Caenorhabditis elegans: one gene and its partner. The protein of the gene in region 1 interacts with the protein of each later gene in a pairwise test. Each region holds a gene or a part of one and is shown in the gene's direction. Other genes may lie near its edges.

Region 1 (6,107 bases):
CGTTCGTAAAGTCACGGATATCGTTGTAGAGACGAATGAGACGGGCTTGAAGACTCCGACGGAGAAATTCCCTCTTGTTGGACGTCGCCCAGCCGATGCAGTTCGTCAAGAGATCGATCTTCTCTTTCTTTCCATGATCAAGCGCAGGCCCGACTCCTTGATCAATCGTAAGCGCATGTTCCACGATATCTCTTATCAATTTACTTGCTCGAGCTTTTCCAACAAGATCGTAGAAGCTACGAATGGATTCGACGAGTGTTCGGATTCCAGTAATATCCTTTTCCTTAGCAAGTTGCCTCGAGTAAGACAGGATAAGATCCTCGCATCGCTTTACTTCTGCCTCCGATGACTTCGCAGTTTGGGCAGATACTGAAAATATTTAATTCAACCGTTTTTTAAATACTGAAAACATAAAACATGCTAAAATTCGCGTTTATTTGATTGAAAATCAAGAAACGATTCAAAGAATAAAAATACATGTGATACCGTAATCTTAAAGGCGCAGGACGTTTAATGGATGGGTCTCGACGCGGCAATGTTTTTCAAGCGGGAATTCAAAGACAATCTGCCCAATTTTCCATGTTCCTCGCGAGAAATCTCTAAATCTCACATTCCTACGTCGCCGCAAGCTTTCTTGTTTTGTTCCGCATAAAAACATTCATCTCTATCAAAGCCAATCAATCCGCCCGCGGTCCGCGTTCAGCTATTTTCCCGTTCATCTCTAGCCAGCGACATTGTTCATCCTATTCTCTCGCGCTCACTTGCTTCTCCGTTTTACTAGTTAATAAGAAACAAACAAACCTTCACTTTGTACAGCTTTCAGAGTGACTGGAGTAGCAGACATCTCAATTTTTTCTAATGCTCGCAAAAATAAATGAAAATAAATTAATTTTGATTCTTCATCGAGATTCGTTTCGATGACGTGGCACGTGACCTCAGAGGTCACGTGAAAAAACAATATAAATAAAACGTTTATTTTTACACGAAAATTATCTATTGAGCATAATTCGACGAGAGTTTCTCATTGAAGACGGAATCAAATTTTGCTGAAAATAAAAAAAAATAATGAAAATTGTTTGGCTTTTGGCTGCTTCTTACATTTGTGTCAACTTCCTTCTCTCCACTGTCCTTGGATTTTTGCTTTCTCTGCAACATAGGAAAATATTTACACTTTTCATGTTTTTATGTTTCCAACCTCCTGACAATCGTCTTTAGTGCTAATCATTTTACAAGTACACCCGCGATTCTTATGGGCGTCTCGTGTTCTCGGCGAGCCTGGCGAACGAACCATGTGGAAAATGTTCGGGTTTCGTCTGTTAGACACCTGCTTCACATCCGTTCCATTTTGATTTCTCCACCATGTCCATCCCCAATAAACCAAGCTCGCAACGACTGACAAGGAAAGAACCACTTTTTCGGAACTACGGATTTCCATTCTGCAATCCGATTAGTTATCGCTTATTTTCAATCTCCTCTCACCTTAGAATATTCATTTGAATGATTCAAATTCAGCAAAAATGATAGCAATACATTTTTTTAAAAACTGAACTATACTTTTTTTAATCGTTTATATTTTTAAAAACGTTTCACGTTTCTATTTTAATCTTAATTCTACTCTCTTCTGTTCAAAAATATGTATCTAATTACAGAGTGGACACAATGAGTGAGTGTTCCGCGAGTACCAGTCAGTTATCTACTTTCTGTGTAAATGAGATACCATGGAAGTTGGTTCCACAGGTAAAAATCTTGAAAACCACTCAGTTTCGACAAAACAAAAATTTCAGACTTGCGACGAATTCAGCGAATACGAGTTCATAGATGAAAAATATAGGTGAGGATCTCTAGATATATATCTATTAAATTTTATAACCTTTTCAGGCGCCTTTCTGACGTAGAATCGTTTGTCTGGAAGTGGTCGCCGTGTGGAAGATATGGAATTGATCTTCCGGGCGGTCGTGACGTCATTAACCAACAACTACGTGACCGTATGGCTGTATTCGATCTACATACGAACAAATGGACCCTATACACCATGGACCGTGGTGCTTTCGAAATTCCACGAGTTTGCTTTCTCTACTGGGCACGAAACGATATAATCGGCACAATAACCCTTGTAGTAAGTGTCCGATCTACCATACCTAATCCAAAAAATAAAATTTCAGAAAGACTATGAAGCAGGACCGGATGATGAAATTCCATTGAAATTCAAGCAATCATTCTTCTACGTATCTCACGAAACACAGACATTAGTGTACTCTGGTTCATGCAAGTACCGTACGAATAAAACAATCGTAGCATCTTATTGGTACCATATTTTCGAAAATCGACGTGGCGAACCGTTCATTGATCACAATAACTACCTGTGGTTGGTATTCTCAAACGGAGTGGATTCTCTGATTCTTCTTCCATTTATTCCAACTTCAACGTGTTTCAAAGCGAAATGTGTATCATTTGATATGAACGATATCGTCAGTCAATTCACTGGTATTCGCGTATTTCTCGATCCATTTGTATCATCTCACTACGTGCCATGGGTCTACAGAAATGACGTTAATTTTTTCATTAGGATTGATTCGCATTCATTTATCGAGGAGCAAAACCGGGACTATGGTCTAGATCCGCAAATTGATAACCCGGAGACGAAACCGCACAGAGGAGTATTTCAACTTCGTGTGAATTTGAAAGATGTCATCGAAAAGGGCGAAAAAGATGCGATTCATGCAGTTAATCCTGAAACAATAGAGACAAGATTCAATCGAGGTGACATTGAACTATGGCGAAAAATCAGCGATGAGCTCCGTCAAGAACATCAGAGCATAGCACAGCATGGCAAAATGGTTGTAGTACAACGATGGTCACACTTTACTGTTGATATGGGGCTCAGCAAGAAAATGAGAACCGTAGGATATGAAAATATTATTTGTTGATAGTTTATTAATTTAATTTCAGCGTGTTGCCGATTTGGACGCCCGTGATTACTGTTGCAGCCATAAGCCACGTAATTCGTCATTCTGCTGTATTGACTTGGACAGCGAGCGAATCAAGGCTGTGGATGCTCTCATTCTTGGGTACAAATTAATCTATTTTTTTCCTAAGTATTTTTTTTTCAGAACTGACGTGGTTCTTCCCCATCCTAGTGGCTCTGTATTCCTATTTCGATACAAGGAAAATTATGGTAATCCCTCCACCAAATAGACGTTTTCTTCATCGTAATTTTTCAGGGATGAGTTATTGCGAGCTTCCATTCTTCCAGCCACTTTCATTGAAGCTAAAATGTATTCAAGTTCTCAAGGAATCTGTCGAAATCGACCCAAGTTACTATAGAATCAAATGCTGCCTTAAAATGCAAGAAGAACTTGAAAAAGAAACTGCCGAAAATTTGTGCACGATAAATATTCAACAATAATAATTTCAAAAAACTAAGTAAACCCCCTTATTAGCATGACACTCCCCCCACCCCCTCTGATAATTATTTTGTATTTATATTCTATAATTCGTAATTATTATTTTTAACTAATAATTCCTTTATTTTTTAAACACATTCCCCCGAGTGATCTGATCACCAAATTTAGAATTTTAATGATTTATTAAACCCTCACCCCTAATTTAATACCGCCTGCAATTTTCTGACGCTTCCTGCTATTTGTAATGATATTACTTTTCATTTTTCCACCTGTTCAATTTTGTCAATACAGACTTATTCGATTCATTTACGGTACACTTGAGCACGATACATTTGAAACAGGCAATAGATTCGATTTAAATTTTGATGAGCGATGAAGAGGAAGGCAACAACGGGAACATAAGCGTGGAGTTGAGAGAAACAGTTGCTAATTTTTGAAAACCCATATTTGGAAAATAAATAATAAATTTGGTTGATGAAAAGCTGCGGATTGGATTTAACACGGACATTGACGGCCTTGGCTCTCTTCCGCGTCTTTAGGAGGATTCATGATAACGATGTTGGCTGAAAAAATTAAAATAAATCACTAAAATGTTTGATAAGAATCTTACGCTGCTCAGGCGTCTCCTCTTGGACAATTCCTGGAAGTGCCGTAGCGATTTTGCGGAAGAGCTGAAAAGGCTTATTTTTACTTTAATTGTCTGAAAATTTTCAGACGAATTTCAAAAATAAGTACCTGTTTGACGTTGTAGCCAGCTTTTGCAGAAGTTTCAATGAACATCACATTCAAATCGCGAGCCTTCTTTTCTCCATCCTCCGTCGAAACTTGTCTGAATTTCTTGTTGTTTGGAATAATTTTAGAGTGCATGTTCGTTACCTTTTATCAGCCAAATCGGTTTTATTTCCGACGAGCACGATAATGACGTCACATCCACGTTCGTTGCGAACATCATCAACCCACTTTGTTGTTTGATGGAAGGAATTGGCATCTGAAAAATTATTAAAATAATTTAAAATCTCAGATTCTAGTAGAACTCACTAGTAATATCATACACGACAACGGCAACACTCGAATCACGAATGTAAGATGGAATCAAAGATCGGAAACGTTCCTGGCCAGCGGTATCCCACAATTGAAGGCGAATCTGACAAGGTAATTAATTTAGTTTCAATTTTCTACATGGTATCTTACGGTTCTGTCTTCAAGATACATAGTCTTGCTGAGAAAGTCAATTCCAATGGTGGCTTGATAGGTGTTGTCAAACGAATCATACATGAATCTGGTGATGATAGAAGTTTTTCCCACTGAATATAAGTTTTTTTGAAACTAAAACGGCCCTCGGAATCACTTACCACTCTGTTCGCCGAGAAAAACGAGCTTAAACTTTTTGAGAGCGTTATTTGTGAAATCAGCCATCTGTAACTGAAATTATTTGTTTGAAGAGGAATTACAAAACAAGAACAAGGTACATCAAACGTTTCTTAAAAAATAATATGAAGGTTTCCAAATTTGGCTGTTTAAAGATTCCAAGAGCAAGAAAATTAAAAATTAAAAAAAAATCGGTGAGAAACACGAAACTTGGCGTCAAATTGCAGAATTCTGCATTTCTGCGTAAAATTTAGAGACCCGAAGGAGACCCGAAGAACTCGGAGGATGTCCAACTGGGGGGATTACCAACTCGGGGGATTGGCCCCGCCCACATAACCGTGGCTTGCAATACGCCCATTTCTGCAACTGCCGCACGGTTTTAAAACTGTATTTTTATCAATAGAGTGAGGATTAACAAGAAAAAATGATTTTAAAACCGTGCGGCAGTTGCAGAAATGGGCGTATTGCAAGCCACGGTTCTGTGGGCGGGGCCAATCCCCCGAGTTGGTAATCCCCCCAATTGGACATCCCCCGAGTTCTTCGGGTCTCAAAACTTAGTGTATTTTAGAGTCGATGCGATTCGTGGGATGAGCTTCGTTCGGAGACACAGGAACGTGAACAAATATATCAAGATTTTAACAATTTTTAGAGCGGAAACTCGAAAAAAAAATAAACATGACAGTCAATAGTTTGTTTGCTTAAAAAGTTCTACTTTTTACTCACGTTTCTCAGTTTTGGAACGAAGCCCCGCCTTTAAATTTCTGAGTTTAAAAGGTACCGCCCCCAAACGTTGGGTCTCGTTAGGTATTGGTAGCAAAACCGTAAGATTTCACTCGGTTTGAATCATTTTTAGTCTTTTTTGTTATGTTTTCATGTTTAAAGATATTTATGCCAAAATAATGTTAATAAAATAATTTTCATTCGGATATTAATTTTATCTCATATCTCATTAATTTCGACATAAAAATAGAAACTCTTAACATGTTAGGCATAACATAGAAAAAGAAAAAAAATTGAAAACGTTTAGTTTACGGTTTTCTACAGTACCTAACGAGACCCAAAATATGTGGGCGGAGCGTTTTAATTTGGCGTTGCAGCACGATTAAACTTTTATTTCAAAACGCAAATTTTTTTCTGTTAGGAATATGAAACTAAAGAAAAAGTGTTTCTTATCAAAAATGCATGATGATTACTCATCGATTGTACACGTATATCAATCGATGCACTGAACATGTTCATGAAAGTTTCCGAATAAACTAATGAATTACAGAAAAATTAACATGTCGAGAACCTAAGTGTTCGAAGTGGTCCACATGAAATGGCACCCCAAAAGGC
Region 2 (4,426 bases), on another chromosome or scaffold:
GTTCATTTTCGTATTCATCGAAAGATGTCAGCACTTGGACAACTTTTTTGAGTTCAGTCTGGAGATATACCATATCTTCCTGCAAACTTATAGTTCGATGAAGTCTTTCACTAATAAATTACCACAAGGTCCACATCAGTAAATTTTCGATTCTCCAGATGATCCAGTTTAGTCGGAATACGATTTTGAATCATTTGAAGAGCAGCTTGCTTTTTCATGTAAACATCCTGATTTGAAGTGATAAGGTTCCGCAGTGTGGATACTACAATTCTGATTACTTTTTCCTTTTGACAATTGCCCAGAATTCCAGATATCGTTTGAATAAGATTCCCAGACAAAGCCACTTCTGCAGCATGTCCGTTGAAAGTGAGAAGCCACATGCAGAAAATTATTTGGTACTGAATTTGAAACCCGCATTTTCGAGTCGAATATAGAGCATGAGTCAGTGAGTCGTAGCCATTGATGTTGACAAATGAAACTCGATATGGATCGAATCTGAATAAAGTTTGCATGCATCTAACTGCTGTAACAATGTAGTCGTTGTTTGTTCCTCTATTCATCGCCTCTTTCAAAGATCCCATGCAATAGTCAAGTTCGTCTCCAGATAATCTGAAATAGTTAGAATTAATTAATGTATCTCAAGCGTATCCAACTTTATATTTCCAAAAACAGCCATTTTTGTGAGAATCGAGAATGTAATATGTACAATGTATTGATCTTGACGATGGAGAAGACCCATGAAAAAAGAAAAGGGAGATCTTTTCAGAAGAACTGCAACGTCTTCAAAAATAATTGTTCTTGTGACGTCTTCGCGGAGCATATCATCGATCAGCGTTAGAGTGTACCTGACGTAATCATCTTTCGAAATCTGAAAAAAAGAAACTAATAATTTCGAAATAGGCTTATGAAATATGATTTCACCTGAGACATCAGATGAACAAAAGCGTACACAGCCTTTTCCTTGAAAACCGAGAGTACTGTGCTCCGTTCTGCCTCGTTTTCTGCTTGTTGATAAGTCACGATAAAGTCGTAATCACTTTGAGCAATCATTCTTGTTCTGAAAAATTACTACGTAATATGGAAGATAGATAGTAAATATACCTCGTGAAAAGTCCCCAATTGGTTTTCATTGCTCGAACTTTGTCGGCTTCTTTTTGAAAATGAGTGCGAATGAGATCCTGATTCTCCCCAAATACCATTTTGAAACTGAATCAAAGAAAATTAACTTTTAAAATGAGGACAAACACAGAACGTGGAAAATGTAGAAATGGAAAATCACGGTGGTACAGCAGCTAGATGAGTGCAAATGCGCTCTACCGAACAAACCCAAATTTGACCGGTTAGGAAATTTTCAATCAAAAAAATTTTCAATAGAAAAGATAGAGAATTTTCTTGCGGCCATTTTTCATATGCATCGCAAATTCAAATTTGGGGTTAGTTTTCGAGATAGCAGCCAATATAGGTTTTCAGACTGAGTATCATAAACCAAGCCATCTAGTTTCTGTGCTACCATGAAATCCAACACGGCGATGCGAACACGCTCTATTGCGAAAATTCAAGTTTTTTTTTTCAAAATTTCTCAAAATTTGATCATGATTTCGAGCGGTATTTTTTAATTTTTACTTTTTAGTTTCCGCGAATTTTTGATAAGTAAATTTTTTCGCTCACTCTTTGTTCATTTCATTCAGATGTTCCATTTCAAGGATTTTTTTCCTTTTTATTTTCTTTTCTGCCGGTGCTCCCAAGTTTTCTTGATTTATATTCTCTTCTTTTTCCATCATCATCACAGTTTGTAAATTTATTTTTCTAGATTCAAAATGGCTGACAACGATTTCCTGAGCGGTGAAGCAATCATGGTGTTCAAAAAGGAAATCCTTGACTCCCACAGCGATTTTACTCGATCGCTTTCACATCAGTCAGCATCCCCCGAAGCATATGATCAAGAGAATGTATTTTCTCAAGACTTCCAACCGTTCATGAAACAAGATAAGGAGACGCAGAATTCGGCTTCACAGCCAACTTCTGAACAATCGTTGGCCAATCGTGATCCTTGCACAGTTCCCGATGACCTTCGTGAAGAAATGATGCGTCAAAGGAGAAAGGAAGATGCATTCAAGACGGCTCTGTGTGATGCTTACAAACGCAGTCAGGCATGCTCATACGGTGATCAGTGCAGATTTGCTCACGGCGTCCATGAGCTTCGGCTTCCAATGAACGTAAGTAATCGTTGATCCTACAAATTTCTTATTTTATGACTGGAATTTTCAGCCTCGTGGGAGAAATCATCCCAAGTACAAGACGGTTCTTTGCGACAAGTTCTCGATGACTGGAAACTGCAAATACGGAACCAGATGCCAGTTCATCCACAAAATTGTCGATGGGAATGCCGCGAAGCTAGCAAGTGGAGCTCACGCTAATACTTCATCCAAATCACCAGCAAGGAATGCTGCCGCACACAATCATTCACTCTTCGTGCCTCAGGGGTCGACAGATCGAAGCATGGATCTCAATCAGAGTCTACCAATCCGTCAATCAGATCTCGTTCGTGCGTTTGCTCGTGCCACCCGTTTGGACGTATCTGGATACAATTCTACGGCTCAATTGGCACAATATTTCGAAAGCCAATTCCAGCGGATTCAGCAGCTCTCCTCCCATCATCACTAGTTTCTCTCGTCGAAATTTCTGATCTTGACTAACATGTACTTTCTATTTTTTACTTATGGATTATATAATCAAGTCCAATAACCTGGTGCAGTCCCAAGGACATCATCAATAATTTTCCCCATTTTTGTCGTTCTTTTTCTTCTCGAGTCCGACCCCAAAATGTTGTATTCACAGGCTTTCAAAACTCACCCCCACATTCCCACATTTGTATCTAGTCTGTATATTATTGTTATCTTGAATTTTACCAATGTTTCGTTCTCAATTGCATAGCCCTCGTTATGTGGACTCATAAAATGAAATTTCTCGTAATCAGCATACAATTGTTTCAAGTTTTACGGTGCCTCTGCGGTATTAAAAAGTTCATAGAACCAGCTTACGGTACCATCATTTCTCAAGATTCTCGAGCTTTTTTAAAGACGCACGGATTTATTCAGATGGGTCTCGGCGCAAGAAAAGTTTATGGTAGTTTTTATTTTTGAGGCTCTCATTTCTCAATGAATATACCCTTCATTTTTCTGTGAAAATTTTCTTAAAATGAAATAAACTAATTGAGAAATGCAAGAAAAAAAACGAAGAGGCAGCCTCAAGTATTCAAAAAAGACTTCCATAAACTTTTGCGCACCGAGACCCATTTGAATAAATTCGTGTGCCTTTAAGAAGGCGTGCAAAAATCTTGTGAAAAAACAATAAAAATTAATGTTTCCAATATTTAAAGCGCTCATTTTTATATTTGAAAACAACTGAATATTTCGTTTAAGGTTTATTACTTTATACTTTCCATCTCACAAAAATTGAGATGAGTACTGTAACTGACTGACGTGTTTGTGTTGTGTGTGAGGAAAATCAACTAGTTTCACAATACCAGTAGACTCAAATGAAACAATTGAAAATTGGGGGACAAAAATATCACTGCGGGAGCATGTGTCAAATCGGGGTGGGGGAAATATGAGAAGACTATGCCTAACACAAATTATCATGAGGGTGTGTGTGTGTTTAAAGGAATAAATATACGGGGAATGAATATACACATAAAATCGGTGTGGAGGGGCAACAAGAATTAGTTCTTTGTGTCGGGGGAAGGAAACAAATGCGTTTTACAATTTGATGGAGCATGGATGGGAAAGATGGGCACCAAGAAAATGGTGGTATGTTTGTGTCATGATAAAAAACAACTTAAAGGGAATATATTGACTTTTGGGGCCTTTTTGTATTGAATCTATTCAACAATATACACACATTACATTCTGAATCCATAAGCCTCAATGAATTGAATAATGAAATCCTGATCATCTCCACATAATGGTTCATTGTCAAACGTTTCACATTTTTGCGAGCTTCCATGATTGAGGTCAGCTGAAAAAATAATGATAAAGATCATGCCGACAATTTTCGTAAAAATAAACTTACCATCAAGCCATAATCCATTTCTTCCAGAACCAGCTCCAATGGATAAGGAATCCTTGGCGGCGTTTACAAAGTACTGATTATCACCCGTCCAGTTGTATTGGCGAAGTTCGCTGAAAACATTTTTAAAAAATTAGTATATAAAGTTCTATGAGAAATTAAATTACCGAGTGTGAGGCACTTCTCCTGTGAATCTCCACAATAAACAACTGTCACCAGTTCCAAAGAAATGATCATTTGGTCTGATGGCTGACGAGACGACAGCTCCGAAGACGTGTTCCTTGGTGTCTCTGATGATGAGCAAAACTGGTGATAGGTCCTCATCGAATTCTGCCATCTTTCTGTACATTGTGGCAAG

Evidence for each region.
Region 2: the proteins of zif-1 (region 1) and pos-1 interact in a two-hybrid assay, tested with the Caenorhabditis elegans proteins (one study listed by BioGRID).

Annotation. Positions count from the first base shown.
Region 1 is NC_003281.10:9,001,130-9,007,236, forward strand, and holds zif-1 (Zinc finger-interacting factor 1), read left to right. Parts: upstream 1-1,649; 5' UTR 1,650-1,659; coding exon 1,660-1,737; intron 1,738-1,784; coding exon 1,785-1,831; intron 1,832-1,878; coding exon 1,879-2,116; intron 2,117-2,162; coding exon 2,163-2,900; intron 2,901-2,949; coding exon 2,950-3,068; intron 3,069-3,110; coding exon 3,111-3,175; intron 3,176-3,221; coding exon 3,222-3,406; 3' UTR 3,407-3,710; downstream 3,711-6,107. Other genes in the region: putative 26S proteasome regulatory subunit rpn-6.2, read right to left, coding at 1-369, 802-844; F59B2.15 (uncharacterized protein), read right to left, coding at 990-1,046, 1,099-1,146, 1,196-1,436, 1,480-1,493; Ras-related protein rab-6.1, read right to left, coding at 3,900-3,967, 4,015-4,075, 4,140-4,233, 4,281-4,392, 4,443-4,548, 4,596-4,708, 4,757-4,820.
Region 2 is NC_003283.11:8,412,277-8,416,702, forward strand, and holds pos-1 (RNA-binding protein pos-1), read left to right. Parts: upstream 1-1,808; 5' UTR 1,809-1,817; coding exon 1,818-2,216; intron 2,217-2,268; coding exon 2,269-2,664; 3' UTR 2,665-2,978; downstream 2,979-4,426. Other genes in the region: vha-18 (putative V-type proton ATPase subunit H 1), read right to left, coding at 1-79, 123-609, 654-868, 922-1,057, 1,102-1,199; lmd-3 (Oxidation resistance protein 1), read right to left, coding at 3,902-4,017, 4,072-4,181, 4,236-4,426. UniProt on the Caenorhabditis elegans protein: RNA-binding protein that coordinates cell fate specification and differentiation during early embryogenesis.